Linked DNA regions of Cricetulus griseus. The protein of the gene in region 1 interacts with the protein of each later gene in a biochemical or structural test. Links are inferred from orthologs where the notes say so. Each region holds a gene or a part of one and is shown on either strand. Other genes may lie near its edges. The genes, in order: Hdac5, Zbtb16 and Sik2.

What was found.
Region 2: the proteins of Hdac5 (region 1) and Zbtb16 form a complex in vitro, tested with the Homo sapiens proteins (2 studies listed by BioGRID). The link is inferred for Cricetulus griseus from reciprocal best matches to the Homo sapiens genes HDAC5 and ZBTB16.
Region 3: of the proteins of Hdac5 (region 1) and Sik2, one has a biochemical effect on the other in vitro, tested with the Homo sapiens proteins (2 studies listed by BioGRID). The link is inferred for Cricetulus griseus from reciprocal best matches to the Homo sapiens genes HDAC5 and SIK2.

What each region holds. Positions count from the first base shown.
Region 1 is NC_048600.1:115,898,141-115,908,330, forward strand, and holds the end of Hdac5 (histone deacetylase 5), read left to right. Parts: coding exon 1-82; intron 83-715; coding exon 716-881; intron 882-1,556; coding exon 1,557-1,690; intron 1,691-2,008; coding exon 2,009-2,129; intron 2,130-2,476; coding exon 2,477-2,526; intron 2,527-2,685; coding exon 2,686-2,793; intron 2,794-3,144; coding exon 3,145-3,200; intron 3,201-3,323; coding exon 3,324-3,411; intron 3,412-4,451; coding exon 4,452-4,571; intron 4,572-4,812; coding exon 4,813-4,910; intron 4,911-5,071; coding exon 5,072-5,190; intron 5,191-5,545; coding exon 5,546-5,679; intron 5,680-5,904; coding exon 5,905-5,989; intron 5,990-6,125; coding exon 6,126-6,291; intron 6,292-6,377; coding exon 6,378-6,417; downstream 6,418-10,190. Other genes in the region: G6pc3 (glucose-6-phosphatase 3), read right to left, coding at 8,476-8,839, 9,046-9,187, 9,386-9,504, 9,691-9,781, 10,113-10,190. UniProt on the Homo sapiens protein: Responsible for the deacetylation of lysine residues on the N-terminal part of the core histones (H2A, H2B, H3 and H4).
Region 2 is NC_048597.1:160,433,668-160,444,261, reverse strand, and holds part of Zbtb16 (zinc finger and BTB domain-containing protein 16), read left to right. Parts: intron 1-5,182; coding exon 5,183-5,353; intron 5,354-10,140; coding exon 10,141-10,308; intron 10,309-10,594. UniProt on the Homo sapiens protein: Acts as a transcriptional repressor. Transcriptional repression may be mediated through recruitment of histone deacetylases to target promoters. May play a role in myeloid maturation and in the development and/or maintenance of other differentiated tissues.
Region 3 is NC_048597.1:162,657,935-162,668,528, forward strand, and holds the end of Sik2 (serine/threonine-protein kinase SIK2), read right to left. Parts: coding exon 10,396-10,594; intron 10,271-10,395; coding exon 10,107-10,270; intron 9,399-10,106; coding exon 9,288-9,398; intron 8,656-9,287; coding exon 8,564-8,655; intron 7,785-8,563; coding exon 7,176-7,784; intron 5,825-7,175; coding exon of another isoform or gene 5,800-5,824; exon of another isoform or gene 5,393-5,799; coding exon of another isoform or gene 5,377-5,392; exon of another isoform or gene 5,198-5,376; coding exon 5,110-5,197; 3' UTR 4,520-5,109; downstream 1-4,519. Other genes in the region: Ppp2r1b (serine/threonine-protein phosphatase 2A 65 kDa regulatory subunit A beta isoform), read left to right, coding at 3,294-3,359. UniProt on the Homo sapiens protein: Serine/threonine-protein kinase that plays a role in many biological processes such as fatty acid oxidation, autophagy, immune response or glucose metabolism.

The DNA.
Region 1 (10,190 bases):
CATTCAGGTCAAGGATGAGGAAGGCGAGAGTGGTCCCGACGAGGGCCCTGACTTAGAGGAGTCCAGTGCTGGTTATAAAAAGGTACCTCCCATGCACTTGGTCTCTACCGACTGTCCTTCAGTCTCCAGTGGTGCAGTTGCCAGGCCTTGAGCAGCTTTCTAAAGAATAGGAAGGGGAGGAGAGACCAGGAGGGAGTGGGAGGGGGCTCCTGTATGGTCCCTGAGCTGTACCTGCCTGCCAGTCTCCCTTTGTGGCTGCCCTTGTCTCTTAACTGCAGTGTGCTTGTGCGTGTGTGCATACACATGGCTCTGCGTTCGTGCCTGTGTCGGCTGGTTGTGCGTTGGTCTCTGCGTGCATGCGAGCTTGTGTACACACACGCCCCCACTGTTACTACAGTGTGCCTTGAGCCTAGCGCGCTCCATTCATTGCGGACACAGCCCCAAGCCCTTAGGCCTGACTCATCCCGCCCCCACCCACCCCCGTCCCTCTCAGCCTCTTACCTCAATGCTACTATTTGGAGTGACTCATCACATCCCCCATCTTCTCCATCTTGCAGGAGATGGCAAGGCTGCAGTGTCTCCTGTCCCTGGAGGGAGCAAGTGGGAGGAGGTGGGGGAAGGAGGAGACTTGGGGGCCCTCTGCAGGCTGAAAGGACCCTGTACCCAGTCCCATCCAGGCTGTGCCTTACACAGGCTTCTTTCTACTCCTTTCCAGTTGTTCACAGATGCCCAGCAGCTACAGCCCCTGCAGGTGTACCAGGCACCCCTCAGCCTGGCCACTGTGCCTCATCAGGCCCTGGGCCGCACCCAGTCCTCACCTGCTGCTCCTGGGAGCATGAAGAGCCCCCCAGACCAGCCCACTAAGCACCTCTTCACCACAGGTAAGCCCCACCACTTCCCGTTCCATCCTTTCACCATGCACCAGGGGCTTGGATGTATAGCATCCATGGACCTGCGTACACACTGCATGGAGGGGAAAGGAGTCCTCATATCTCCGTGTGCATCACAGCTATTCATGGGAGCAGCAGCAGCTTCTCTCCAAGCAAGAGGGTAGGCAGCTTTGCTCCTACTCCCGGGGGCAGCGTTGTCTTCTCTGTGCCCCCACCCTCCACCTAGGGCACCTGCTTTTGCACCATCATCCCACAAGTCCTAGAGCCTTGGGTGGAGAGTCCACTGCTTCTTTTAGTTCTTGCCCTTCTAGCCTCCTGGTCTCCTTCCTCCCTGTGGGGTTGGCAGTGAGGCCTCAGTAGAACCCAGAAGGCCTTTGCCCATAAGGCTGCCACATGCTCGGTTCTGACATGGCACAGACTTACTGACTGTCTCACCAGTGGGGAACAGAGCATGGGCAGACATGATGGGGAAAAGGAGGAAGGTCCCATGGGGACGGTATAGGGGATGCAGAGGACAGAGATTGGGACCAGCAGCAGCCAGGCTGGGTTTGAAGAGGAGAGAGGGTATGTAGGTGAGTGTTGGTGGATAGTCAGAGATAGTTACTAGGACAGGATGTGCAGTAGGGTTCAGAACAGTTGTGGCTGACACAAGGGTCTGTGGCCCAGGTGTGGTCTATGACACGTTCATGCTGAAGCACCAGTGCATGTGCGGGAACACACATGTACACCCAGAGCACGCCGGCCGCATCCAGAGCATCTGGTCCCGGCTGCAGGAAACTGGCCTGCTCAGCAAGTGTGAGGTGAGGGAGCCCCTACCTTCAGCTGGGAATTCCATCTGAGTGGTGCCTTCACTGCCCTTCCAGCAAAGCCTCTCCCATGCCCCAGCCCTCCAGTCAGTCCTGAGACTTTCCCAGTTCCATCCCTTGTGGTCTGCTTCCCTCAGGGTCCCCAGATAACCTGGGAAAGAGTCCTGGAGTGGGGTCTCTCAAGGGCCAAGGCATAGTTACTCCACATCCTTTGGCTCTCCTGGAGGTTGGCTCTGTGAGCATTGGGCTGTAGTTGTCAAGCAAGTCGAGCCTTGTCAACGCTCTCTGGCCTCTCTTGACCTCCCCTGGCAGCGGATCCGGGGTCGTAAAGCCACACTGGATGAAATCCAGACAGTGCACTCTGAGTACCACACCTTGCTCTATGGGACCAGCCCCCTCAACCGGCAGAAGCTGGACAGCAAGAAGCTGCTTGGTGAGCTGCAGGGCATGTTCCCATGTGTGTCCTCAGTCTGAGTGTGATGGGGCTGTCATGAAGACCACCAAGCCAGAGTAGACAGCAGTCCTAGTGGGGTCACACCCCAAGAGGGTGTCTTTTGCCTAGACGCAGATTGAATATACTGGGCATCAGGCATAAAGGTGGACTTGGTGGTAGTGGTCTGTGTTTCTTCCCAACCTGTCATGTCCCTACTGTTTGCCTCCAGAGATAGGTCATCTCCCCAGAACAGAGGATAGAGGCTCTCAGCTGGCATGGACTGCATAGCCCATGCCAACTGGCAACTGGGACACCTTTTAGAGCATCTCTGTCCCTCTTTCCTTCAGGGCCCATCAGCCAGAAGATGTATGCCATGCTGCCTTGTGGGGGCATTGGGGTGAGTTGAATATGTGTGATTGGAGTGGGCAAGTGGCTCCCCCGGCTTGGCTCCTTCCTCCCTGCCCCCATGGCTGCTGGCCTGCTCTCTGGTGCCCACTCCCGTTCCTCCCCTCCCCCTGCAGAGGGCACACTGAAGCCCGATCTCCTGCCCCCGCAGGTGGACAGTGATACTGTATGGAATGAGATGCACTCCTCCAGTGCTGTGCGAATGGCAGTGGGCTGCCTGGTAGAGCTGGCCTTCAAGGTGGCTGCAGGGGAGCTCAAGGTAAGGATATACTTGTGGCCTCCATGCCCCTTGCCTGGGTCCTGTGTCTTCAGGAGCAGGTGCTCAGGGGAAGCACTGACTTCCCTTCATCAAGACATTGTCCTTTGCAACTTTAAAGTCTTAGTGCTAGGATGGGGAGAAGCTTGAGGGACAGCCATGGTTTGAGGGCCATGGGGAACCAAGTAGGCACTAAAGCCTGAGAGACAACTGTTTCCTGGGGGCCTGTAGTTGACAGTCATAAAAGTGCATTTCTGTGTTCCCATCCCTGCCTGGCTTGTGCTTCTCTCCTGTATCTACCCTGCCCCTGGCTGCATGACTTTCCTGACAGTTGCCCTTCTGCTTGTACTTCAGAATGGATTTGCCATCATCCGGCCCCCAGGACATCATGCTGAGGAGTCCACAGCCATGTGAGTACCACTCTGCCCTGACCCTGGCCCTCTGCCATCAGCTTTTCCTCTCTTTCACTGGAAGCAAACCTCACATCATTCAAGCTGACCTCCTTGCCCTCTCTTCCTCCCCACACCCCTCAGGGGATTCTGCTTCTTCAACTCCGTAGCCATCACAGCTAAGCTCCTGCAGCAGAAGTTGAACGTGGGCAAGGTCCTCATCGTGGACTGGGTAGGCAGCAGGCTGGGTGCCTGGGCAGGGATGGGCAGGGCGGTGCCAGGGAAGGCCTTCAGAAGCGCCTCCAGGCGGCTCACTCCACCTCTGGGCGGCAGGCACTTAGGGCTCACTGGTTGGCTTCACATGTTGACAAGTTTGTATCCTTCTTGCTTCATCATCAGGCCAGTGCTCTCATTCCAGTAGGGTGGGTCCTCCCTGGGGGACCCCAGTATGTTCTTAGCCTCATTTACCTTATCTTCCCCTAGCAGCATCCAACATCCCGATGATGACCTACTCTGAGCAGCAAGGACAGGGGTGGTGCTACTACACTGTCAGACCCCTTTCCCCCTTTGCCCTTACCCTAGGGGCTGCTGAATGCCAGAAAGCTGACCCTGTGCTGCTCATAGCCACCTCTGGCAGTGCAAAGTAGCCCTCCACTTCTTTAAGTGAGGAGGACACTGTTGGGTTACTTAGCAAGGATGCCACACCTCTGTTCCTGAGGCTGTGGGCGTTCCTCAGCCTCCTGCTGTCATGGTGGGGAAAGGGCACAAACGGCTCACTGTGCTTGAGGAATCACTGGGCAGTTGATCAGCAAGGATAGAATTTTTGAAATCCAATTTTGATCTAAAATCATGTATTCAGGTATGGTGCACAACTATAATCCCAGCACTTAGGAGACTGAGGCAGGAGGATTGAGAGTTCAAGACTAGCCTGGACTACCTAGTGAGACTACCTGCCTCAAAAGAAAACAAATTCATGGAAATGTTGATCCTTCTGAAGAAGGATCCTGGGATCCTTCTTCAGAATCTATTTGCCTGTGTTAAATTCCTTGCCAGCCTGACTTTCCCTTGCACGTCAGTGAAATGGGTTCTGCAGGGAGATAAACCATATTCATCCCATGGCTCTAGAGCCTGGACTCAGGGTCGCAGTCCTGGAGCCACTGGTGGGCTCATCTTGAGAGCTAATGGGAGGGTGGGTGGGGAACAGGTGGCATGTGAGCCTTTGGATTAGAGCTTAGACTGGTGCCCAAAGCACCCTGCACTTACCCCCATTAGGACATTCACCATGGCAATGGCACCCAGCAAGCATTCTACGATGACCCCTCTGTGCTCTACATCTCCCTGCATCGCTATGACAATGGGAACTTCTTTCCAGGCTCTGGGGCCCCTGAAGAGGTACAACCCCTGGGCCTTCATGTGAGCCCTTTTGGGAGGTAGCATGCTAGGATCTGGCAGGAAGCCACAGAAGTCCATTCATAGTGATGGCCCCTGTGGCATTCTTGGGCTCCTAGTGGGAGGACCACACAGATCTGACTGCTAGTCAGGGAAAACAGAGGTGGGGTGTGGGGGGGGGTGGGGTAGGGAGCAGTGTTTGGGATCCAGGGCAGTGATAGTGACCTCTCCTACCTTATGCCAGGTTGGCGGAGGGCCAGGCATGGGGTACAATGTTAATGTGGCATGGACAGGAGGTGTGGATCCCCCCATCGGAGACGTGGAATACCTAACAGCCTTCAGGTGGGGACTGAGAAGAGCCAAAGGAGGTGTGGGACCCTGAGCTGGCAAGGGCAGCAGGCACTCAGTTGGGGTGGCGGAGGGGTATGGCCTCAATGGAGAACAGAGCATGGCAAGGCTCAGCCTGGCCTCTGCTGGCATTAGCTTGGGCCATCCCTTTACAGGACAGTGGTGATGCCCATTGCCCACGAGTTCTCACCTGACGTCGTCCTAGTCTCCGCTGGGTTTGATGCTGTCGAAGGACATCTGTCTCCACTGGGTGGCTATTCTGTCACCGCCAGATGTGAGCCTACTAGGGGTCTGGGAGGGTGTGGAACACTGAGGCACATGGGACAGGGAATAAGTTGACACTGCAGGGAGTAAGTCTAAGACTTTAGTAGCTCTACCCACTCATCTGCCAACCCCGCCATGGGCCCAGCAGGTAGAAGTGGAGTAGCAAACAAAGTATCTTCCACTGGAGCTCACTGGCCTTGACCTACCAGAAACACAACTCATCTTAGCCTGTCTCCGTTAAGTTCACTGACATTTCATCTCATTGTAGATGCACTGGGGCTGAAGTCTGCTGTCCTACCTTTTTTCTCCTTCTTCTCTTTGATCCGATTTATCACTTATCCTTTGCTCTTTACTCCCATACAAAGGTTTTGGCCACTTGACCAGGCAGCTCATGACACTGGCAGGGGGCCGGGTGGTGCTGGCCCTGGAGGGAGGCCATGACTTGACCGCCATCTGTGATGCCTCTGAGGCCTGTGTCTCGGCTCTGCTCAGTGTAGAGGTGAGTGGGCCACACAGACGTGGAACAACAGGTGGGATATCCACCTCACGGGCTCCTTGAGGTTTGCCTAGGTCTGAGAAATAGTTGGCCAAGGAAGGCTGATTAGGGTTCCTCCCAAAAGCCTGTGCTTGCCAGTACAGGACTGTCTGGGCTGAATGGGGATAGTTGGAGAGCTAGGCAATTGCCCCTAACCCCACTCTAAGCCTGCTCTTCTTTTCTCTGCAGCTACAGCCCTTGGATGAAGCAGTTTTGCAGCAAAAACCCAGCATCAATGCAGTTGCCACACTAGAGAAAGTCATCGAGATCCAGAGTGCGTGGGGACAGGCAGAGGGGCTCATACCTCAACCTGCCAGGCAGGCGGGGCACATGGGGAGTGGGGTACCAGGGCTAGCAGGTATGTCTAGACCAGTCTGTTCTCCCTGAACCTGTCTGTCCCTTTTGCACAGGCAAACACTGGAGCTGTGTGCAGAGGTTTGCCACTGGTCTGGGCTGCTCTCTGCAGGAGGCTCAGGCAGGTGAGACTGAGGAGGCCGAGACTGTGAGCGCCATGGCCCTGCTCTCTGTGGGCGCTGAGCAGGCCCAGGCTGTTGCCACTCAAGAGCACAGCCCCAGGTAAGCATCTCACCTCCCATCTCCCTGCCCTGGGTAAGGTAGTGAATGCTCTCTACTGAGTCCCCTCCCTGTGCTTGTCCCCACAGGCCAGCAGAGGAGCCCATGGAGCAGGAGCCTACCCTGTGACACCCTGGCCCCCATTCCTCTGGGCTTCATCATTGCGATTTTGTTTATTTTTTCTATTAAAAACAAAAAGTCACACATTCAACACCGTGTGCTGTGTGGGTCTCTCAGACTTGCTCTTCCAAGCTGCTTCAGCCCTCCTACCACCAACACATGGTCCATGCCCCAGCTTTAGGAGTCCATTCCTGCTGTGAGGGTTGGGTGTAGCATTCACTTCTCTGAGATAGCGTTGTTATCTCATGCCCAAGTCTCTGTACTCTTTTCTACGTTGGACAGTACTCTGGGCAGAACCTCCAATTCTGGAGCTACTTGTGATGGGAACAGTAAGTTGGTGCCTTGGCTTGGGCTGGCTTTTGGGAAATGCCTTAATAACTTCACCTCCACACCCCCCCCCCCAACACCCACCTCCTCAGGAAGATTCACTACTACTTAAGACGAAGAGTGGAGGAGGTTAGGCTTCTACCCTTAACTCCCCCTTCCTCTCTGTCCTCAGCATTCTGCAAACCCCCTCCTCTCTGGATTCATGCAGCACTGCAGACTTGTGCCCAAGATGTGGGCCTTAGATTTGTGGCCAGATTTCTTGTTTCACACTCCCAGGACCCCGGAGGGTTACAGGGTGACCCGCAGCTGGGTTGGGGCGGGCAGGAGGACCTGCATACACGAGCAGGTTCTCTACTTTATTCTGTTGACCTTCCTGCCTTGTGCTGGCCCAGCATAGGGAGAGGAGAAGCTAGACTACGTGGGGTCTTCAAGTTCTTGCAAGCAAGCCCCTTTGATGTTCTGGACCAGATTTCCTTCAGCCATCAGCCTGCTGCAAGTGAAAGGATCAAGACTCAGTTTCCTTCTGGATTGTTTTTGCTTTGAAGCCTGGGTATGGTCAAAGAGGTGGCTCTAGAATAGACAAGGCCAGAATCCTCTGCCCAGAAGCCCAGGGCAGGGCTCTCAGCATGAGGGGGTTAGGGGCTGTACATCTTCTTTTCCAGTAACCTGTGTTCAGAGGTTGCAGCCCACAGGCTTCCAGTGAGCGTGGTCTACCCTGTAGGAAACCAAAGATGGGACGTGGCACCTAGGGGGCCAACTCCTATACCACATTCTCTCCTTCCATCCCAAGAGCCCAGCAATTTGTTTACATACTATCCTGATGGGGGCCTGAGCAGGGTTGAGGGAGCTACGGAGTTATTAGTTATTAGTGTGTCTGTGTGCTGATCATCCTTGCACTGAGCCCAGGGCTCCAGGCCTCACTTTCACCATGGGCTGGTCTTATTCTCATGTAAACCCACTCCTGCTCTGTCCCCCTGGACATGGATTTTAGTTAAGTATTTTGTATCATGCCACACTGTGTGTCCTTGTGTAAATACTGGGAATAATGTCTGTTCTCTGGGTTCCCACATGGAGTAAAAGTGCTCATTTCTTTCCTAACCAAAATGCTGCCTTTTCTTCAGCCTTGGACTAGAATTCTGTCTGAGGCAGTGTGTGTGTGTGTGTGTGTGTGTGTGTGTGTGTGGTGCGGGGGGGGGGGGCTAGGGTGGGAGATTCCTGTTCTCCTGGGGGAGTGTCCACTGGATTGTTGCCATCATATCTCAAGAGATCTCTGCTACGGCCTTGTCAGGGAGGAGGGGTGAGGACTCAGCTGACTTTTCAGCCCCTGTTTACTTTGTCTTTGTAGGGGCCGGAGGCTCCATTGGTGCACATGCAGTTCATGCAGGCAAAGTCAACGGAGATGTGAGCATAGGCAAGAAAGGAATCCACAAGTTTCAAGAGCTTTATTGAGACTTTCCTGAGCTGCTTGTCAATGTCAGGAACCCAGCACTCCATCCCCACCACACCTGCTGGTTGCTTCTGCTTTTGCTTTGTGGGGACCCTGGGGGAAGGCAGGAAACAGCCTCCTTGGGAAACAGGTCCTTTTAAAAAAGGGGCTAAAATTACAGAACATGAGATAGGAAATGAAGTTCCCTGTGAGCCGGGCCAATTTTGGAGCCCAGGAAAAGGACTGCCTTTTAGAGTGTGGTGGTCAAGGAGTGTTGTCTTTGGGCAAGAGAGCGGCAAGGGAGGCAAGAGACATCAAGAGGAGTGAATGGGTGGTGCTTCCTGGACACTGAATGTGTGCACCAGCCAGGGCACAAGGGCCAAGACCAGGCAGGGCCAGAGGGTGTATTTGAGGAAGTTGAAGATGTAGAAGAGGCTGATCTGAGGTGGGTGGCCCAGCCATTCCAAGATGACCAGCAGCCCAATGGCCAGCAAAAAGCAAGCTATCTTCTGGCCGTTTCCCAGGTATGCCCGCCGTATCTGGCCATAACAGGGAGAGTGTAAAGCAATGCCAAGACCCAGGGCAGTTCCCGAGACACGGCTCAGTGAGGCAAAGGGTCGACTGTCCAAATGCACCCACTCGGGCCGCTCACACCACTTGGAAGCCAGGCTGATGGACCTGTGAGGAAGCAGAGTCTTAACCAGGAGAGACTGGAATCCAGACAGCCACTGGCTCCTGGCTGTCTTCCCTTGGGGACCTGCTCCCATGTATTGACTCCACATCTGTCTAGGAACAGTTCATGTGCCCTTTTATAGCTACAGTGAATCAGAGACCTACCATCTAGATACAAGGTCCAGCTGCCCAGACGCCAAAGCAGGACTTACCAGGAAAGATCCAGGCCCAGTGTAAAAAGAGTCCAATACATGAGGCTGGCACCCAGCATAAGGGCCAGAGCAGTCAACCCATAGAAGCTAAGTTCCCGTTCCATGGGCACATGTGGAGCCATAAGCCAGCCAAGCACAGCACCTAGAGGGATGTAAAACTGTTACTAGATGTTTGAGGAAATGATCTACCCCTTTCATCCAGGCGGGAAAACAAACTATGACAAAGGCGGGGACCTTGAGGTTGGCTCTACAAAAGCTGGGAATGCTGGGAAGTTTCTAGACTGGTCCTCCCACTGCCAAAGACACCCTCTTGGCCCACCCTGTTACCCCAGTTGCTCACCAGTTATAAGGCCTGCCAACACCTGGTGAGGGAAATGTGCTAAGAGGAAGACCCGAGATAGGCCGACTGCCAATAAGAAGGTGCAATAAGCCAGGCTAGGAATCACCCTTACCCAGGGGCTAGAAAGAAGAGAGACAAATGGCTCAAGGGATGAACGTGGCTTTGCTTTCTTCAGCATCCAAATACTTCAGAGTCTGAACCAACACCCCCAGGTCACAACAACTCTAGTTCCCAAACTAATATGCTGTGGAGACTTTGGGGTTCAGAATACTGCTACTGGTGGACAATAAATACCATGGTCATACCTTCGGGACCGAGATGCCACCTGAGAAGAAATGGCTGTCATTATAGGCCAGAGAGCTGCTCCCGTGATCATGCAATGGCCAGAAGGGCTGCCTGCCGGGAGAGCCAGAAGTTCATGGTGAAACAATAAAACCCAGGTGCCCCTGGTACAGCTTTCCCAATACCAGCCGATCACTCCCTCTGAGACCTTTCTCTCAAGGTCACCGTTCTCAGGCTTCTGCCTTGCCATGTGCCTGGCTTTACTATCTATGAGGTGACTAGCCAGCTGAGGCTTGTCACTCAACCTGGTCTTCCCCAGGGCTTGTTTTCCAGACCAGTAACTAAGAGGCTGGCCCTGTTTGGACCACCCTAGCTGAAGTATATGGAAATTTTTATCTGAACCTTAACCACACCAGGAATGGGAGGAAGTTGGAGCTTTTCCCACCTGGGCCAGTCTCACAAGAAGAGGGGAACTGGTGAACCTGGACTGGAGTCTGGCTGGAGTACCCAGACTCATGCACCC
Region 2 (10,594 bases), on another chromosome or scaffold:
TGTGCTGTGTGTTGGGGGAGATAAAGTTGGCTATCCTGGTTCCTGCTTTGGCAGCTTAGTCTTGTAGGCAGAGCTGAAGGCAAAAGTAAATGCAATAAAGGATTTTATGGGTTGTAACAAGGAGTACTCAGTAGAAGATGGTGTCCTTGGCACCAAGTCTTAAATAGTACAAGTCATCCAAGGTGCCACTGCTAGGGTCAGCTTACTACAGAGTCAATAAAGCAACGCATGCTTGTCATTGTGCAGGGCTTCCAAGAGTCACCTTCCAGGTTGTTCACTGTACAAGGCGTCCAGCTGAGGAAGAGGTGGAGATTAAAACCTAGCTCTTTCTTACTAGCCAACAATGAGATCTGTTGTCTACCCAGAGGGAGGAGACGGGCTTTTCTAGTCTAGAGAAAGGCATCATTTAGGTTGGCATTAGCTCCACAACTAACCACTTTGTGAAGATCTTTCAAGCAGGTATCTCATTTGCTGTTCTTGGCAACCACAGCAGTATGGAAAAGGGTGAACACACACCCAGGGAAGTTAAATGGCTGGCATGGGATCCCAAGGCAATGGAAATGGCTTTGGGAACCAGAATCCTTGCTCCTTTTTCCTCTCTCCATCTCACTGACCATGATCTCTGGAGACTATCTCCAGAGAGTCAGAGTCCACCTCCTTCATGATGGGACTAGCTCTGATTCTGATTGTTGCCTCCGTGGAGGATGGAGCTCAGGCGGTGCAGACAGTGGAGTATGCTAACGCAGCGGGTCCCTTGCCCTGCCACACATCTCACCGCAGCTAATGAATTGCTAATACAATTTTCTAGATAATTTTATTTCCATAGCCCCACATTTTAATGTGTTTCCAAAAGCTAGCATTTATTTGCTTAATCTCCCAGTGTAATAGAATCGGCCCTGACTCATCATACATGCAAACAATCAGCTAGGCAGAAACGACAGCAAATTGTTTAATAACTCACATCTAGTCTTTAGATTTTTAACTTGCACGCTCCAATGGTTTTTCTTGCGTCTCAGATACTCTTCAATCCTTCCCTGGTTTTCTTTTTCTTTCTTTTTTTTTTTAAAGTCCTTTTCTTTGACCATGAATGTTTGGTTTTCAAGCAGAAGAGTGGGGAAGGTAGACACAGAACCTCTAAACCCTCTTTTCAACTCCCCCACCCTGAGTCGTGGTTGGTGGATAAGTGGCCAAGGAGGGATCTTGTGCTCATGTGAGGTCCCAGGCAGGAGAGAGAGAGACATCTGGGGCCACAATATTTCTTTTTAACTGATAATCATGTAACCTTAAATCTGTCAACAGTGTGCAGAGCTAGCCATTGGGGATTTTGTGGGTACCACTTTTCCCAAATAGAGCCCAGTTCCTATCAGGCCATTCTCTTCCTGTCCAGAAAACCTCTGGCCTCATCTGGTCCCCACCTTCCTTGTAGTAGCACAAAAGCTGTTAACCCCCTCTTTCTGCTTTCAGCCATGTGGGACCATCCACACCTTGGCTACCTAGAGAGACACTGCCCACCAGGCTGTTGGACACTTGTACCCGTCTTCAGTCAGTTTGAGTTGCTGTAACATGTCCCAAAGGCTGGGCAGTCTGAGATAGGGATTCCAGCATGGCTGGGTTCCCAGGAGGTCCCTCTTCCTAGTTGCAGACTGCAGACTTCTGACTGTGTCCTGTGTCCTAACTATGAAAATGGATCCTTTTTTTATAAGGGCACTAATCTTGTTGAGGAGGGCTCCACCTTTGTAATAAAAGACTTGGTAAAGCCCCCACCTGTTAATCACTGGGAGGATAATGATTTTAACATACTCATTTTTGGTGTGAGTGAGAGGACACCAACGTCTAGACCTTTGCCATCCTCTAGTCCTTCTATGGCCCTGCTTTGCCTGTAGGATGGCATCTGTACTGTTTTTCCTGGCACATGTGATGATCTGACCTCCCAGGTTTTCCTGGCTTCTCTCCATCCTCTGTTCTACCTGCTCTGAAATCCATCTGGAGTGTTTCCTTAGCCAGGGACGGGTATCTCATTTCCTACATTTGCTTCTCAGATGGACCCCATTTCTCAGAACAGAACTCAAAATCTCTTCTGAGGCTTTTGCAGAGTCACCCTTGTCTCACCCATGCTCTGGGTGGTATTTCTTGACCGGTGCCCTCCACCCCAGGCTTGATATCTAAAATTCTCTGCTCCATCTCAGCCTCTTGGTGATCACTTGGTAATGGGGTGAGACAGGTCAATGGACACAAATCAAGTTCAGGCCATTCTGTGAGATGGAGGTGACCCACTAGGGAAGCCTCCAAGCATCTTAGGAACAGCAAGGGGACAGAATGCCACAGGAGACTCAGTCTGCTCCTCTAGGTGGTGCCTTTCCGGGTGTCCTCCTGGAATGCCATTCATTCACCCTTGTTTTCTATACTGGGGATCTCAGAATAAGAGTAAGATGTCTTGGCTGGTAAAAGGCCCGGCTGTTCAAGAAGCCTGCTCCCTCAGGCTGATTTGAGGCAGCTGTTTGAACACCTGGCCTAATTGGGGCCTTCTGTGGGGTAGAGTCCAGGGTACAGAGGGTGCAGGTGCTGGGAACCCTCAGCTTAAAGAAGCTGGGACTGATGTGCTGTGTGTTAAAACGTGTTGTGGGTGGACTCTCCTTGTGTTTACCAGGCTTGCTTGGACACTGAAGGACTCCGTGTCAGTCCTCGAAGCTTCTGCCAGGCAGACTGCTTCTCTCAGCATGTCTTTTTCCATCGGATGGGGCTGAGGACTTAAGATCTCTCCCAGAGATCTCACTGGCTCCCTCCTGCTGTGCAAGTATGAGGACTTGCATTTGGATGCCCAGCACCCACATAACAGCTAGGCATGGCTGTGTGTGCCTGTAATCCCAACACAGGTAGTGGGGACAGGCCAATCCCATGATTCAATGGCCAGCTAGCCTAGCCAAAACTGTTCAATGAAAGATCCTATCTTGATGAAATAGATGGAGAGGCATCCTGATGTCAACCTATGGCCTCCAGCAGTGCCACACACACAATACTCTCTCTCTCTCTCTCTCTCTCTCTCTCTCTCTCTCTCTCTCTCTCTCTCTCTCTCTCTCTCAAAAAAAAATAAAGTAAAAATAAAGGGAGTCTGATCAGTGATTTCTGGAATCAAATAGACCAAGACATTTCTAGATTCCTGATTCTACCTCTTTGTCACTGTGTGACCTTAGGCAAGTTATTTCATCTCTGTTTTTCTCTTTGTAAGAAGGTAGCTATGAAAGCCCACCCTACAGGGATGCAAGTTTTAAATGAGATGACTGCACAGATAAAGCACCTAGCTAAAATGGCCTTTATTGTCTCTCCTTCCATTCTGTCCTCAGAGCTTTGGAGGACATTTTCTCCCCCCATGCAGCCCTCCTAGTTATTGGTAGTTGAAGCATGGCTGCAGGTACTTAGACTTCAGTGTCCACAGAGAGGGGCCATCAGGTAATTGTGAGAAGAGAGAGGATGGTGATGAGTGGTGGTCCCCACCTTTATTCCAAACTGAACCATGTATGATCCTGAGGAGGCAAGAACAAGCCCTCCCATTGGCCCTAGCTCTTTCCAGTCAGGGAAGCAGCAAGGCTCTTCATTGTCCCATCCCTTCCTCTCTCACCTGCCCCTGGAAGCTTCCTCATGTCCCCACAAAGCAGCCCAAATGCTCTGACACTCCCTCCATTTGGACTAGACTGACAGACCTGACCACCTTTTCTGTTTGTGTCCCTAACACGAGGGACAGCATTATGCTCCTGAGCACAGGCCATGCTGCCCAGACACTGGCAGAGAGACAAGCAGAAGGAGCTGATGTTCTTGGGGAGATGAGATCCAAAATGGCAGACAAGGAGCTATGAGCTGAGACTGAGCTGGAAGGCTGTAGGTCCAGTGTAACATCAGGAAGGGGTTAATGAACAGAAAATAGCAATCTGCCTTTGTGGGGTTCAGTGAGGCCCATGGGCTACTGGTCAACCAGCCGAGTGGGAGGGCAGAACTGAACAAATATCTCATGGGACTCATTAGTTTTAAATCCTTTGACAACTTCCCATTGGTCTTATGATGAAACTGGCATGGCTGGTCAGGACCCCACAAAATCTGGCTCCCGGCTCGTCTTTAACCTCTTCTCACCTTCTCCCTCTTTCCACAGTTAGGACTTGTCATCCCTACTCTACTTAGTTTTGGCTCCCCTAAGTGTTCACAGACTCCATTCCATCCTCTTGTATGTTCTCTTGGTGCACTGGGTGCTGAGTGGTATTGAGATTAGAGCAGGTATACCAGTATGCTTTTCCATCATCACAGCCCTCAAAGAGAGTCTTCCTTGTAGAAAGTATCACAGCACTATTTGTGGAATGAAGTGGCTCTCGAGATTCCTGATTACCTAAATGAGAAAGTGGTTAGAAGGATGTGTTCACCAGGCGATGGTGGGGCACACCTTTTGTCACAGCACTGGGGAGGCAGAGGCAGGAGGATTTGAGTTTGAGGTCTCCTGGTCTACAAAGCTAGTTCCAGGACAGCCAGGGCTACACAGAGAAACCTTGTCTTTAAAAAAGAGAAAGAAGAAGGAGGAATAGGGGGAGGAAAGAAAGAAGGAAGGAAAGAAGGAATGAACAAAGGGAGGGAGGAAGAAGGAAAGAAAGAAGAAAAAAAGAACGTTGTCTACAGCTAACCTCAGGAAATGAATGAATGAATGAATCCCTCCACTGCTCCCAACTGCAGATTCTTTGGAGATTGGAATGAGTTAGTCTACTGTGCTTCTCTCTCCTCAGATGAAGTTTGTGGTTTTTAGAGAGTTACATTAACAACAATGGCCAACCCGTATGATCCAGGTTATTGTTGGTTTTCACAGGTTCTACCTCATCTTCCCACCCCTGTCTCAGATACTATAAATTTCCTGTGATTACAGGCACCCAGTCACCCACCTTCTCCTACATTGGACTCAAGACACTTGTAGAAACATGTTTGGCCATCTGTGTGGTTTTGGGTCTTTCTCCACTAATCTTTAGGTCTCCTGGATGCTGGACACCTGTTGGCATTTTTCCCTCTGGAGCTATATTCAGGTTGCTCAGTCAACATTGCATGGCCTGTGCTAACCCTGGGTTTGACTTTGAATTTGATTTCACCTTCAGGGATGAAAATCTGGCCTTGGGTCTCTGCCTTACTGAGGTTTTCCCACTACTGTCTCCCACAGGCACAGACATGGCTGTCTTCTGTCTGCTGTGTGGGAAGCGCTTCCAGGCACAGAGCGCTCTCCAACAGCACATGGAGGTCCATGCAGGCGTGCGAAGCTATATCTGCAGTGAGTGCAACCGCACCTTTCCCAGCCACACAGCTCTCAAACGGCACCTTCGCTCACACACAGGTAGGCTGGTCGGGGGGGGGGTGGGGGGCGGCATCTCTAGACCTTATATCTGTTATATCTGGGTTTAACTTCCAAAATGGCATGGGGGAGGAAGGGGCGTGTTCCAGGTTGAGACATTTATAGCCTTTCTCTACTTGAAGTTGGACACAGAAGGGCTCCCATAGAGATTGAAATGTTAACAGTTCTCCCAACTCACCCCCGCACCTGTAGACAGTCTGTCTGTTCCCGGCTTTCCACACACAGCACAGAAAATATTCATTAAAAAAACAAAAAACAAAAACAACTACCATACTCTTGATTTCTACTCTCAGAAACTGTGATTTAGCGGTCCAGGATGGGCTCTAGATCCCAACACCACTAATAAGTGTTCCCAAGGGATTCTGATGCAGTGGGTACCAGAGTGCATTTTGAGAAAACTGGCCTAACTCTATTACAGTCCCACCACTTCCTCAATCCATCCAAGAATAGCACTGAAGTCAGCTCAGGGCACCAGAAGGCACACTGAAGAACTCATCCTGCCTTCACAACAGAGACAGGGGGCCTCTACTTTGGCCTTAATGTTGTCTAGAGAAGACAATGAGAGTATTTGAACAACAAGCCAAGAGATAGCCCTGTTCAGCCAGTTCACACAATGGGGTGAAAGACAGGGTATGTGTGAGTCAAGTAGGCAGGGCTAGTTGCCCAGTCCTAGCCTATCCCTGCCACTACCCTCTAGCTTTAGGGAATAGGACATCCAGTGTCAGAAGGCCTTGAAGGAACCTTTGGTCTTTTCCTAACAGAGGAATAGATGACTTAATTCCTTTCTTTGCCCTAAAGTAAAATGAGATCATCTCTTACTGTCCCGGGGTGAAAGAATGGCACTTTCTGAATCATATGTGTCTGTGTGTGTATGTTCCTGATCTGTTTTTTGGGAGATCTGGGATTAAATCTCTGTGAAAGAATGTAGCAGAGTACATACACAGGTCTACTAGAGAGGACATGAATTCCCTGCATGCTTCACGGATGGTTGGAAGAATCTCATTCTTCAGAGCCTTTTCATAGCTCGGGTAGAGCGTGTGGCTGGTCCTCACATGGGTGACAGGCTCTGATGAGTAAGTTTTACTCTCAGGGGCTGAGCTGGACTACCTTGCCAGTTGTAGGCATTCTCACCAAGGAGCCTGCCTTGGCTCTAGGTTCTGGATAGCATCCTGGTTAGAGGAGCACAGTGCCATACCATTACCAAATGTGAATGGCCCACAAGATGCTTAGGACTGCCTCAGGCTAATCAGTAGAAAGGAGGAGGTCTTAGCTGGTAAGGTCCAGCAAAAGGAACCAAAGAGAAAGGAGTATACGCTCGATGAGTTTCTCTACAGTATCTGTATACGAATCTCCCTGTAAGATGTAGACACCATCCCATCAATGTCTCTCTCCCTCAGCAGGTCCCTAAGTTCAGTCTTAGGGAAGATGGCAAGCCTCCTTTAGCCACTTCCAGGTATGCCACTGGGTCAAGTCACTTGACTTCACAAGATGTGATGATCCAGGCCCTACTGAGTCCACCCAACATGCAACTTATTTTGCCCATACCAACTTCTCAGAGTTCAGTTAGCCCATGTCATTCCTGCCCTACCCCTGCGTCAGCTATGCTTCAGATCCCCAGCAAGGACAGAGTTAGGGAGAAACCCTTGCTTATTCTAGAAACACAGACATGTGTGCCCCTTGCGCTCACACATTCAAGCACCCATTGATTTTCACACCAGCCCAGCACAGGCTCTGCACACCCCCGACACAATGCCTCATTAATATTCTGTTGTTCTTGGCCCATTTGCTGCTGGGGCCGGTGTTTAGCATCAGCAGCTGTGTTTGGTACGTTAGTCCAGCCATGCTCTTGGCATTGATGGATCCTTGATTCACATGGCTCATCATATAATAAACTCTCAGCTGCACTGAAGGGAGGGACCAAGAGAAAGGGATCCAAGGAGCCCAGGGGCTGGGACTAGGGTGGGAAGGATGACACTGGGCTTGGCCAGAGGTAAGAAAGCCACTATGTAATGACAAACTGGGGAAGAAGAAGGGTCACAGGTGCCTTGGGTAGGCCAGAGGGGCTCTAATTAGTCTCGTTTGTCCTGCACTTAATGTCAAGCTCATTAACGCGTCTACAGAGTTAATCAACATACCACAAATTGGATTTTGACTTCTGTCGCCAGTTTTATGTACATTATGGCCAGCCTGACATGATTAGCTCTCAGGGTGAGGGTTGTAGGTCTGGTAACCATTGAGCTGTAAAACCTGGGTGGGAGGTGAGGGTGGGTATGAGTCTTGATGACTTGTCTTTTTTTCTTTCTTTCTTTCATTTTCTGAATGTGTTTTATTCTTTCCCAGGGCAGACTCAAGAGAGTTCCTATTTAAACTCATTTAACATGTGATCCAGTTCGTAATTAAATTCATAAAAATCTGGTCAAACAAACCCCTCTGCTGTTTGTTAAACTCTTAGGGCCCTCCTCTGGAAGCAAGAGGCACACACAGGCAGCCAGCCCTCCCTCATGGCAGCCCCTTCTTCCTGGGCAGGGGGAGAGGGGGCTGGGTGACTGCCGATGTACGTTTTAATTACCAGCTTCGGCTGAAGTCTCATGTGGCCCTTGCTTTATTTATTTATTTATATCTTAATGAGGATACTGAATCTTTGATTAAAGTCGTAATCGTTGCCGATTCAGGAAGGAGGGGGAGCTAGATGTCAGACCAGACGGGGCCACGTGTGCAGACAGAGAGTCTTATACACAGACTGCCCCCGCTCTACTATGATAGACCCACAGTAGAGTAGCACCTGTGTCAGTGAGGGCTAGCCTCTTGGCTTTGATGGGGCTGGGAACAGGTCCTCGGTATAGTGCTAGTAGTGAGAGACAAGGGTTGGTTTCCCCAGTTCAGAACTCCAGGACTCAGTCCATCTCCAGCTCACTGGTCAGCGAAGCTTCTGACCCGGGACAGTGCCCCAAAGATGGTGAGGACTGGATAGAAGGGATGGTTCTTTGGTTTCTTTAATGGTGCCCCACCCACCCCTTTTGCCCTCGGTGCTTTTTGTTGGCCAGTGAACAGACCACCCAACAACCACTCCCCACAGAGTCTCAGAAACCGTTCCAAGCCATCGGAGGAGGTGAGAATTTATGTGGGTTCAGGGGCCTGCATTCAGGAAGAGGGATGTTTGGTTAGCGGCCCACGGAAAGGAGACGGCAGAGAGAGTAAAATATCATTTTAAAGAGGAAGTGAAGGCACAGGCCTACGAGTCTATAAGGAGAAGGACAATTTATGCCGAGGCACGAGCACAGTTTGACATGGGGATAATGAAAAAACGTAGGTCATTGTGGATGACTTAAGCCTTCAGCAGCTGAAGAGAATGTATGAAATGCGGAGGACATTACACGGTTGGCAGCCTCGCACATCTGCAGAGGAACAAGTGAAATACAGTGGGCCATTCTTTACCATAAACTGTGGTTGTTGGAGATGCAGCCCAGAGAAATTGTAATTACAGTGACAAGACGAATCAGCGATATTTAAATATTCATGAACAAAGTCTGGGGTGATCAATCTATCTTTATTGTCTGCGCCTTCACTCCTGTAATGAATAAGTAGCTCAAGTCCTCACCTTTCATCCCCTAAGCTCGACACCTCCGTTACAGAAATGCAAGGTGGTTAACCCCACTCCCTACCCCCTTGGGCCACAGGGATGGAAGGGTGGAGTGTCCAGGGGAGAAAATTAAACTAATGGACATGATTCTAGGCTGAGGAAGGGCTGGTCTCACAGTCCAGTACCCAGAATTCTCCAAGAGTTGGTTCTGAGTCATTCCTGGGCAAGCACTGAGGGGGGGGGGAGAAACACTTCTAGGTGGCCCTGTTAGTCAATACAATACAATGTGTCACTTAGCCATGTGGTAAGTGACCAGTGTCCAGACCCTGGGGCCAGACCAGAGCCAAAGTTCCAATCTATCTACTTCTAGCTAGGTGACCTTGGGACAGTGGCTAAGTATCTCTAAGCAACTCCCCTGCCCCATTTGTAAAATAAGCACACCTTTCATCAGAGAGTTTCCATGGACATGATCTCTGTGAAGTCTTCAGCTAGCAGTAAGAATATGCCAAATATGGGCAATGTCAACGGGAAAGAATTCTTTTAAACGTATTTCTATGAGTAAAAGACCCAAAGTGTTCAATATTCTTCTCTTTGGGGACAGAGAAGGAAATATAGCTTAGTCTGCCTGAGGAACCAAAGGGAAGCATCCAAATGGAGGTGGTAGATGAGCCGGGCTTTGAAGGATGGCTAGGGGTTCACCAGGGAAAGAAGTGGGAATGAAACAGAGGGATTGTCAGTTAACTGGTGAAGTAGCAGAAAGAGCAGATGACATTTGGGAAGCAAAAAGAAGCTCCCTGAGTCGGAGGGGTATTTTTGAGTTTGGGGAAGCTAGGCTGGAGTGGCCCCTGGCCCCAAACCAGAGGGAAAGGGAGAGGAGGTAGTGTAAGACGAGGTCTCAAAGCCCAGCTCTGTTCCACCCTCACAAGACCCTGCTTCCTGATGGTTGCTGCTCTTTGCTGAGCCAAGCAGGCTTTCTCTTCTGGGACTGGCTGTTATCCCATGGATGGCTTTAGGGCTATAGTGAAATCTGGGTAAAAACACAGGAACCTCTGTTCATGTTGTGGGGACCAGTCAGGTCACCTTTGAAGGTGGTGAGCATAGGCAATCTGAGGACACCGAATGTGCCCTGCTGTCCCTGAAACAGAGGCAGGAGGAAGCAAGGGTCTGATTGAACCCCTTGTCCTTACAGGTGACCACCCGTATGAGTGTGAGTTCTGTGGCAGCTGCTTCCGGGATGAGAGCACGCTCAAGAACCACAAGCGCATCCACACAGGGGAGAAACCCTATGAGTGCAATGGCTGCGGCAAGAAATTCAGCCTCAAGCACCAGCTGGAAACGCACTACAGGGTTCACACAGGTACCCAGGGCAGGGATGGGCCCCAGGCTGGCTCTGGGACTTGGGTGGTGACTGGGAGCAGGTGGTCCAAAGCAGAAGCCCAAGTAAACACAGTTCAAAGTTCAACCAGAGAAAAAAAGGGATAATATGGAGGGATGGCTCGATGGTGTGAGAGTGCTTCCTGTTCTTCCAGGGTATCAGAATTTGTTTCCTAGCACCCTCTTCAGGCCTCAGAAGGCAACACACACACACACACACACACACACACACACACACACACACACGAATACAGAGAGAGAGAGAGAGA
Region 3 (10,594 bases), on another chromosome or scaffold:
TGAAAGTGAAAAAACAAAACAAAACAAAACCCCAAAAACCCTGAAACTTGAATTTTCTTCCAAGGGGCAGAGCTTTGCACATGCACAGTGAGGGGTCTGTGCTCCCAACTCTGTATACACACTCACAGCCATCAGGCTTGCCTTAGTCTGAGAGCTGTTTCAGTTCTATATAATATTGGCCCAGGGGAATGGCTTAAGTAATGGAAACCAAATCTCAGCTGCACTCACTGCCAGAGAACAGGACTTAATCCTGCCCTTTCACTTGGGCTCTGGCCCCACAAGTCTAGAACATACGAAAGCAGCTTGGCAAAGGAATTCTCTAAAACCCTGAGGGCAAAGGGTTGTATCTTGTATCATAAAGGATGGCTGTCCCTGTGAGAAGTCCATGGTGTGTGTTGGAGGTGGGGGGTGTCACTTTCACAGACCCCAAAGAGGTGGTAACACTGTCACTAAGCAGCAGTGCTTTGCTGGCCTTCCTGGCAGTTTAGAGTACTTTACTTCCTATCCTCTATATTACTTGTTCTGTGGAGCCGTCAAGAGCAAGGTGTGCTTGTTTTTGTTCCAATTCCTGTGGCAGAGGTCCTAGTGCAGACTATTTGCAATGATGGGCTTTGTCCTGAGACTACCATTAAGGAGCACTGACCAGGCCCAGTGGGGCCCTGTCTGTATGCAGGCTGTGGTTAGCAGTGTTTCCATCAGTGATCTGTAGTGGCTAACGTGCACTCAGGCAATTTGGGGCGAGGTATTATTTACCCTGTTGACGTCAATGAGAACATATTATCCACTGTCCTTTCTGTAGCTTGAAATGAGCACCAGAGCTCAGAGAACACAGCTACCTTCCCCAGTTTGAAAACTACCCAGTACTCAATGAGGTGGAGACCTGCCTATAATCTCATTAACCTGACATTCACATCACCAGGCTTTTAGAAAACAAGGTGTTTTTATTTTAATTCAGGAGGGCTGGAAACATAAAGACAGTACATTTTCCTTGCAGAAAATTACTCCACTTAAGTTACCATTTGGTACAAAGATCATTTATTAAACTGCATTTTAGGCAATTTTCTAACACTGAGTGGCAGGTTACACTTGGATTTTCCACAGTGGAGCTATTAGGATTTGCACTCAAAATACCAAAGCTATCAAAGTCACCAATTTTTTTTCTTAGTAATTAAAAAGCACACAGAAAAAAAAATAATAACTACAATCAGGTTAAGTTTATCGAAAGTAACTCACAGACCAAGCTGAATCCAGCAAGACCACTCTCTTCCTTTCTGCAATAAGCAAACTTTGAATAAGAAAGGCCTTGCCTTTCTACAAAGTGCAAGTAACATCTACCACTTTGACTTCTTAAACACTGCAGTCCCCAAAGGCAAGCCAACATCCCTTTTTGTCTGCTGCTTTCTCCTTCACAGATTCTGGTAGAGGCATTTTTTTTTTCTTTTTCTTTTTTTCTTTTTAAAACCATGGGTAGTGGGGATGTTTAACCACTTGAATTTTCTTAACTGAGCAAATCCTGGGCATGCAGGTATCAGTTATCTGCACTTGCTAATGTAACATTATGCTATCCACCAGGGTGTTGCTTGTATTTCTATTTTTAAAGCTACCCCTACTCACCCATTTTGGTTCTGAAAAGACCTAGCATTCCATCAACAAAGCTCGTTAACATTTTGTAATCCTGAAAGTGTTTTATAAGCCTTCCTACTTGTCAGGACTTAATTGTAAGGAAATGTGCTGGGTGGTAGCGACACACACCTTTAATTCCAGCACTTGGAGATGGAGGCAGGCTGATCTCTGAGTTCAAGGTCTACATAGTAAACCAGGATATTCTAGGACAGTCAGAGCTACATAGTGAGACTCTGTTTCAAAAGACCATTTAGAAAAAGAAAGGGAGGAAGAAAAGGAAAGAAACAGGAAGGAAAGAAAAAAAAGGAAAGAAATGTTCTACACGACATCCCTTTAGGATAGAGGTTGAGTTCACAATTCCCTGGGCAGCCATCTTCTCTGGGGTTGACTGTTGACTAAGAAAGCCCTCTGGCAATCAGGGAGGAGTGTGTCCTTCCAATATATACTGAACAAAAGCAACGGGTTACATAACTTTGAATAAACAAACCTCCTTAATTGAAGCCTAAATTTTTGAGATTTATTGGACAGCAAGATGGCCAATCTCTGGTGTCTGTGTCTCCTGCTCCTTGTCTGGTGCAGTCACCTGGATAACTGCAGTGGGCACTTAAAGCCAAGCAGCTGTCAGGTGGAGGGTGCAGCCATCTGGACAGCGCCTTGTTTACATAGCTGCCTGCTTACTATGAAAAGATGTGCTGCTGAAGGGGAGGGGCTATGGGACAGGGCTCCAACAAGGAGCAAAGCCAGAAGTCAGGCAACAGAGGTGCTTGTCTCAGCTGAGGTCACAGCTCAGAAGTGGTGATAGCTAAGTCATGTATCCTTTGAGAGCACTGCTTTCCTCAGCTGTGAGAAATACAGATCGGATCTCTCTAGCTAATTTCACAGAACTGGTGTGAGAACTGCAGGAGAGCACTTGTGAAAGTGCTTGGTATGTTGCTGTGAAAACGGACAGGCAAGCTGAGAGGGCAGGCCCTGTAAGAACCATCCTTAGTTAAGCTGTTGGGCAGTAATCCTACCTGTTTGTCAACCCATGCAGCCACAGGACCCAAATCTGCTCACATACAATGTGGACATAAGATGTGGTTGCAACTATGAAGGCTGGAAGTCTTCTAGAATCAATTAGACTGTTGTAACTGGGTAAAAATGGCTAAACAAATAAGTGAGGTGATGTTGGGAGATCAGAGACTTTAGGGCCAAAAGGGCCCTTTAAGGGTCATTGTCTCATTCCATTTGCGCGCATGTGTGTGTGTGTGTGTGTGTGTGTGTGTGTGTGTGTGTGTGTGTGTGAGAGAGAGAGAGAGAGAGAGAAGAGAGAGAGAGAGAGAGAGATGTGTGTGTGAGAGAGAGAGAGAGAGAGAATGTGTGTGTGAGTGAGAGAGAGAGAGAATGTGTGTGTGTGAGTGAGAGAGAGAGAGAGAGAGAATGTGTGTGAGTGAGAGAGAGAGAAAAAGAGAGAGAGAGAGAGAGAGAGAGAGAGAGAGAGAGAGAGAGAGAGAGTGAGTGTGTGTAAGCATTGAAGTGTGTTTTTGTCCAGTGTTGAAACAGGCTGATGATACTGCTCTTGTCTCCCACAAATCACTCTGAAGGTAAGTTCTGTAAAAAATTTCCAGAAGCAACAAAATGATCAAGATCCCTGCCTGGGCAATGACTCCAACTTACTACCTGTTCTCCAGTTTTTACCTTTGATGTCTAGGCACAGAGAGGCCGAGCGGCTCCAGTGGCTTCCAAGGAGGCAGTAGATGCAGCCCCGCTTAGGGGTACAAATGCAGCAAAGGTCAGCCCTGGCACAGGGACTCTGCAACTGCCCAGTGGGATCAGTGTCATCAAATGACACTATATATAGTTTCTAAAGGAGGAGGAATGTCAAAAAATCACCCGACTGTGAATTTTCTTTAAACCAGTAGAGAGCTTAAGTCACTGTTGATTTGAGTGTAAAAGTGTAATGCACAGCAGAGAGACTGGTCCTCATATATTTAAGCTGACTTGTTTAGAGGCTAAAGAACCCCAGAGTAAGGACAGCCTACTGAGTCCCCATGTCCTGATCAGCTGGTCTAGAAGCTGCTAATTTTTGGGTTCCTTCAGCTTCTGGCTCATCACTGTGTCACTTTCCAGCTGAGAACACACTCCTTAGTATCCCTGCCTTAGGTATAATGGCTCCTGGGGTAGAGGTAGAGAGGCCTATGATGAGTCCTTGCTGAGTGCCCTAGTTATTGGGCAGGGCAGAGGGTGTTGCTCCATGGGCTGGGTTGACGGGTGTATGGGGTAGGGGCACTGTAACAGTAAAGACTCAATTATACAAGTTAGGAGGGGGTGTGGCAGGCAAAGGCTGAAGTCCTACCTCCCTGACACCAGTTCAGGATTTAACACTTCTGATCTTGATTTTTGAGATAGAGGGTCCCTGGCTTTCTAATGTTACAGCCACTGCCTCCCAAGTGCTGGGATTAAAGGTGTGCACCATCACAGGCCGGCGGGGACCCTGGCTTTCTTTTTCCTAGGACACAAAGCAAAAGTAAGGGCTTTGCTCAGAGCAGCTCTTAAGCCTCACATCAGTCTCAAAGGCTCTTCCTGGGTTCTCTTTGTCTTCCATTGGGTAGATTCTGGAGGGTTTGTTCCCAAGGTAGCAGGAAGGCAGTTCAGGCAGGCCCAGTCAGGGCAGGGTTAGGGCTGGCATTGGTCAGGCAGCTCCCTGGGAATAGAGGAGTGGGAGCCCGAAACTTGTCTTCCTGTTGCATTAACACCCTTTATTTGCCTTACAGGGACCAGCATGTCAGTAGCATGTAAATACTAGAGACACACTTGCCCAACTGGAGACTGCGGAACTAATGCATTTCCCCCAAAGCAGAGAGTGAAACCTGGATAACAAGAGACCATAAACAAAAATAAAAAAGTACCACACATATTGCACTTTTTGCCGAATGAAAATTTTACCTCATGTTTGAATCACCAGTCTCTTTGGAGAGGCTGGTTTACAAGATAACAAAGCTAAGGGTTATTACTATACAGTAGTGTACACACTGCTGATATGAACTGACAGGCAAGCATGTCAGTATTTCAGAACTGCCTCTCAGCCAGAATGGGCCTAAGCCTCCTTAGTGTTACTTTAGTACTTGGGAGGAGAAATGGCTTGGAAGCTTCCATGGTCACTAGTTAGGGGACAGCAACAGAAACAATCAGGTGAGCTGACCACCATCTGCTCTCACCAGTTTCCATCTCAGGACATAAAGGTAGCCATAGAATGAGGGATTTCTACTTGAAAGGAGTGAGAGGAGCAAACGGGAGCTTACGACAGGATCCAGCATGATGGTTCGTGTTCTTCACCAGGCGACTGTCCTCACCTCCGCTCTGTGTGTCAGTGCCTAACAGGCTGTCTGTTGATGGGTGCTCCCGGCTTCTCTCTGCAGCCTGTAACCTTCTGACAGCCTCTCCGTAGCCCCTCATCTGTCGCCTAACTGTCCTGCCATAGCTGCTAGGTCTCCTGGGCTAAGCAGCTCACAGCCCTGTTGGGGGGCAGGAGTTTATGCCAATCTGTAGCGGTGCTGTTCTTGCAGTCCTGAAATGAGCGGCCCCCATTTTCAATCTGGAAGGCATTTTCATTTCGTCAATATTATAGCGCTTCTGCAGTATGTTTTGGGAAAACATCCTCCTCCAGTCTAAACAGATCAAGCCCCATTTTATAGCTGGCTTATTTTGTGAAGCTTTAAAACGTATTAGAGATCTTAATGAAATGATCTCTCAAATGAAATGATGTTCTTTATCTCACAAAATCATCGATCTTAAGCATGAGGAGGAACAGAAACAAAAGAAACAAATTTATCCTTACTGGATTTTCAGTTATTCAATCACAAAATGACAGTCCCTCCTACTATCTATTCCTGCTGACACCCACAGCCCAATTCCAAGCAGAGCGCATTTGCAAAGCAGCCCAGCACCAGTTGGGACCCAACAACTACAGTCTCTGGCCAGCCTCAAAGATGCTAGCTCGCTCGAATCACCAGCACTGGCAGGGGCTGGGCTGGTGGCCAGGATGGCTCTCCGTAGACTTCCCATGCCTAGTCTTCCCTTGCCTGCCTGGACACTTACTACAGAGAGGAAAGGCAACTTATAGGTGTTTCTAGGTGCAGCATCAGTGTAGTAGCTCTCTTCTTGTGCTTTAAGGAAGACGCTTTGTGCTTAGTGCATTCATCTGCTGATAGGACAAGCCACTCTAAAGAACAGAAATTATAATTTTTATAAATAATACTGAGTTTGTAACACCTGGATGTCACTGTGCAAATGACAGAATTACTTCTCACTAGGTGACTAGCTATAGCATCTATTTTTCAATTCTTCTGATGAGTGAATTAAAGGGTTAAGCTTTTCTGGTAAATGGCTAGCACATCTGTGGTTCTTTGAATATTGCTATAATACTTGAACATTTCACACAAATCAAAACTTTACGGAAATTAAGAATTCTGATTCCCACACAGTGGAAAACAAACTGAAGTGGCTTTGGATTTAGCAAGGACATGGAAACCTTGGTTTCTATAGAAAAGAAAGTTTGATGAGGTGGGGGAAGGCACAGCACTACCACTCACTCACATGGGACATAAACATTGTTTGTGTACCCTGAAAAATCTAAACCCTACATGAAATTGTCCAACTATGCAAAGCTCCACAAGCTCTTAACAACAGAGTGGAGAGCCAGAGGGACTACTACAGTGTAGCAGACAGGAGGTCTCTGGAGACTGGAGGTTGTGCAGGAAAAGCCTGGCTTCCCAGCTCATGGCCCAAGTTCCTTATGCTTTCTGGTTTCTGCTTCAGCCTGCACTGTGTCAGGTCTCCTGCTGTCTCTACAGGCGAGAGCTTTGAAGCCCTGAGTATTTTAACACTGGGCCACCCAGGGACACTTTTGAAAAGGTATTATCACATGCTCCCAGATGACTGCAGGTTTCAGGGGGTCAGTACCAGCTGCTACTTAGTGTCTGTGAAACACTCCTTAGGCTCCACTACTGTGCAGTGGTCTTAAGGACACCCTATATCAACAGCCAAGAACTTATGATTTTGTGACAACACATAACTTCCCTCTCTTCCCTGTGCATCAGATTTCATGATACATCTTGATATGCCTTGAGGCACTTTGCTGATGCTTGGCTTTAGTAAAATATACTGTCTTGTCTTTTTCCCTAGGTGTATGTAGACAACATACACATTTTTCCTGCTTTTACCAAGGTTTTCCTTGGAAGAGAACTGGTGTAAAACCTAGGTCTGTATGTTATTTTATACAGACGCTTGTTGGTACTCCCTTGAGAGCTTGTTCCACTTTATCTAAGGGCATTGGCTTCAGCCTCCAACTATGTTCTAGCCCTTGCCACAGAAAATTGTGTGGTGGGACAGAGCTGGGAGGAGCATCTACCCTAGTCAAACTCTGATTCCAGTTGGAAAACTTGATTTTTCCCCATTAGGGAAAGGGAAAAACTAAGCTTAAGTTTAAAGGGCTGGAATAAAAATAGAAACACAGTTTGCCTTCACTAGAGCCACCTTACTTCCTGTGCTGAGATTAATTCACCAGGACATACCCATTGTGTTGTGGATCCACAGCTTCTAGCATTTCACAATCAAAGAGTCCAGGGAGCTCAGAGAGGGCCAGCGGGTCATAGCTAGATGGGGCTTCCTGAAGTCCTGAGCTCCTGGAACAGTCCGCGCCTGTGAGGCTGCTCTGCTGGGCTCCATCCACAGGATAGTGACAGGGAGCAGGATAGTCTGGTGCAGAGGAGGTGGTGCTTGGCAGCTCACAAGTCTGATAGGAGAACTGTAAGGGGGCTGGAGCAGCTCCTGGCTGCTGAGGTGGAGGAGGTGGTGGTGGTGGGGGTGGCTGCTGCAATTGTGAGGGTAAGGGATGTGGAGCCCGGGGGCTGGGTGTGGAGGGCAGGGGCTGCAACTGCATCTCCGGGTATTGGCTGAGGAAAGGGCTAAATTGCATCTGCTCAGAAGAGGGCTCGAGGACTGGGCTCAGGGGCTGGGTCAGGCTGAATGGTGGGGACTGCTGGGATGGCGGTGGAGTCTCCTGGTGGGGTAGAGCCAGCTGCTGACTTGGTCGAGGGTAGGAGCTCTCTGCTATCTGCATCTGATTAAAATAAGCTTGCAGCTGAGACTGCTTCTGGAGGAAGAGTCGCTTCTGCTGGAGCCTAAATTGACAACACCAAAAGAGCATTTTACATCTCAAGGGAATGTAATTTCAATGTAAATTCAATACCAGGCATTAACTTCACTTTCCCTTTCTTTTCTGTTTTATTTCTGAGAATCTTCTATATACTCTAGGCTGGCCTCAAATTTGTGATCTTCCTGACCTAGTATCCCAAGTGCTAGGGATTCCAGGGATGCACCCTCACACCTGACACCCCATCTCTGTCTTTCTCTTTTCCATGCAAGGGGAATAAAATCAGAGTAAATTCACCACACTGGGTTTTGCCTCTATTTGACTGGCCGCTCTGAGGTAAGTGAGCACTGATGCACTGTCTCTCAAGTTTCTCCCTCTAGAGAGGCTAATTACTCATGAAGATTACTCAGAAAAAGGTAACATCTTGGCCTCTATGAGTGTATAGGTAGGGTGATGATTAGGGCAATTTTACTTTGACCAAGCAGCTTCTACTGGTGGGACCAGCAGGCATGAACACACCAAGGAGAGAGCCTCCTCAGTGTAACAGACTGCTTCTGAAATCTTAGGGCTGACCATATTATCCCAGAGAAATACAAAGACATGACAAGGTGTATAGGGGGCCGCTGTTGCCTGCCAGGCTTATACTCTGGGATTTAACAACCTCATTAACACCATGCCCAAACAGAAAATGACCATGTACCACTGCATGGGCCTCGGAGAAGCAACTAGAATGGAAAAGGACCATACACCAGCATTCTCCAGACTGCCATGAAAATAACTAACTTTACTGGCCAAAGACTTCCTCACCTATGTTCCTGTAGCTGCTGTTCCAGGCTCCGAGGTGGTTCTTTACAATATATTGGACAAGTATTCTGGGCCTTTGGCAGAAGATTAGGCTTCTGGAAGATCAGAAAAGCAACAAGAGCCTAAACATATACATGCTATCAGTTGGATGCAGCTGAGGTGTACCCTTTGGATGCCTGTTTGGACAGTAGATTGACATGTGGCTTACAGAATCCAGAGTTCACTAAGACCCTGGAAGAGGACCAGGTCAGCAGGCCTTGGCATCTAGTTCTGGCCTACATGTTTTCCACTTTTAAAATTCCTTCAGGACAGGGAGGTTCATGGAGAACAGTGAGAAAATCAGACTTAGTTCTTGACAGGAAGCCACAGTGCCTGCTGAGTGATTCATTCTCAATGGGATCTATGCTGTATCGTTTCTTAGGATCTTCATGCACCAGTATAGACAGTCTCGTTAGCATTTTATATATTAGAGTTCCCATCTTATTATTCATAAGTATATTCATAAATATAAAATAAGAACAAGCCAGATCTCTCTTTTAGAGCACTCAGTGGCATATCCTTTCCTACTGTCATCAGAGGGCATAAAGCTAAGTTTGAACATGTTCCTAGAAACTACAAATGTAGGGTTAAATCTACCTGCTTATAATTAATAACGCAGCTACCTTAAATAATGCAAAATGGGTTTCTGTGACGAAGTGAGTTACACTAAGAGTGCCAAGGAGCCCACCTGGAGTCGATGCTGTAGGTACTGGGTTTCCAAGCTCTGTTGCGGAGAAAGTTGAGGATGCATGCTAGCAGAGAGTGTGGAGACACTTTCCTGTTGTTGAGAGACTTCCTCCTAAGGATCAAGGCAGTGGACATTTCAATTTCTATGTGAGAAAGTTTCAATTCATAGTCAAGCACCTTTGCAAATGACTGAATAGAATCTGGGCTTCATATGACCTAATACCCCAAAGCTTTTATCTAACTAGTAGGTTGAATGCTGCTTTCAGAGAATCTATACAGAGCTAATAACTCAACTATTACCTAGTCAGTACTAGAACAAAAGCACCTGCCTGGTATCACAAGAAGGGCTTACATACAATGTGGGCCCAGAATATGATATCTTTGATGCACTGAACATTGGCTCAAGAAATAGCAACATTTATTATATTTTAATGTGACTAATCTTCATATTTAATAGTGAGTTCACATCAAAAGTTTTGTCAAGAAGCTTTTCATTTGGTTGACGTTCATTAACATCAAGTGTGTGTGTGTGTGTGTGTGTGTGTGTGTGGGAGGGGGGTCAAGGGAGACTGAGTCATCCATATATAATCTGCCTGCTTTGTGAACCAAAACTAGACTGATCCTGAAGGCCTCTGTCTGGTGCTGAGCATCTGGAAGCAACATAGCTGGATTTAAGCTGTTAGTGACAGCAGCAAGAAAACCTCTGAGACCTGGGGCTTTCCCATAAAGCCAGCTTAGTTAGGAGTAGGAGGAAACTCTCTAACTGAAAACCACACATCTGTAGGACAAATGTGGTGTTGAGAAGAGCCTGCACACTCACCTGAGGGCAGCTGCTCGAGAGGTCTTGGAGCTGAGGAGCAGTTGATGTTAAGTTAGAGTCTGCCTCTGATCCTATTTGTTCATAGAGCAATTGCACTTTGTTCAACTCCAGAATACCTTTGGTTCTAGCAAGATTCTGAAGATGTTGTCTAAATGCTACAATTCCTATAAAGTACAAACAGTTTAAGAAGCAAAATAGGCCTTTTAGTTATACATTCACACCAGCAAGACAACAACCTTCTTTCATGCCTCTGATTGAAGTTTTCAAAGCCAGAAAAGAAAGCACGTACCTTGGGTAAGGGAAGTGTCTGATGCTCTGCGGCCTTCTCGGAAGCTCACAGGGGACCGATTGTGGACCTCACGTTTCTGCGAGCTCAGAGCCTGCATGGCTGGGTTGGTAGGTCTGAGGCTTATGAAAGGAGATGTCATGCGGGGTGAAGGCTGATTAACTAACATGATGTCCTTCAGGGAAGGGCTGTCTTCCAGAAA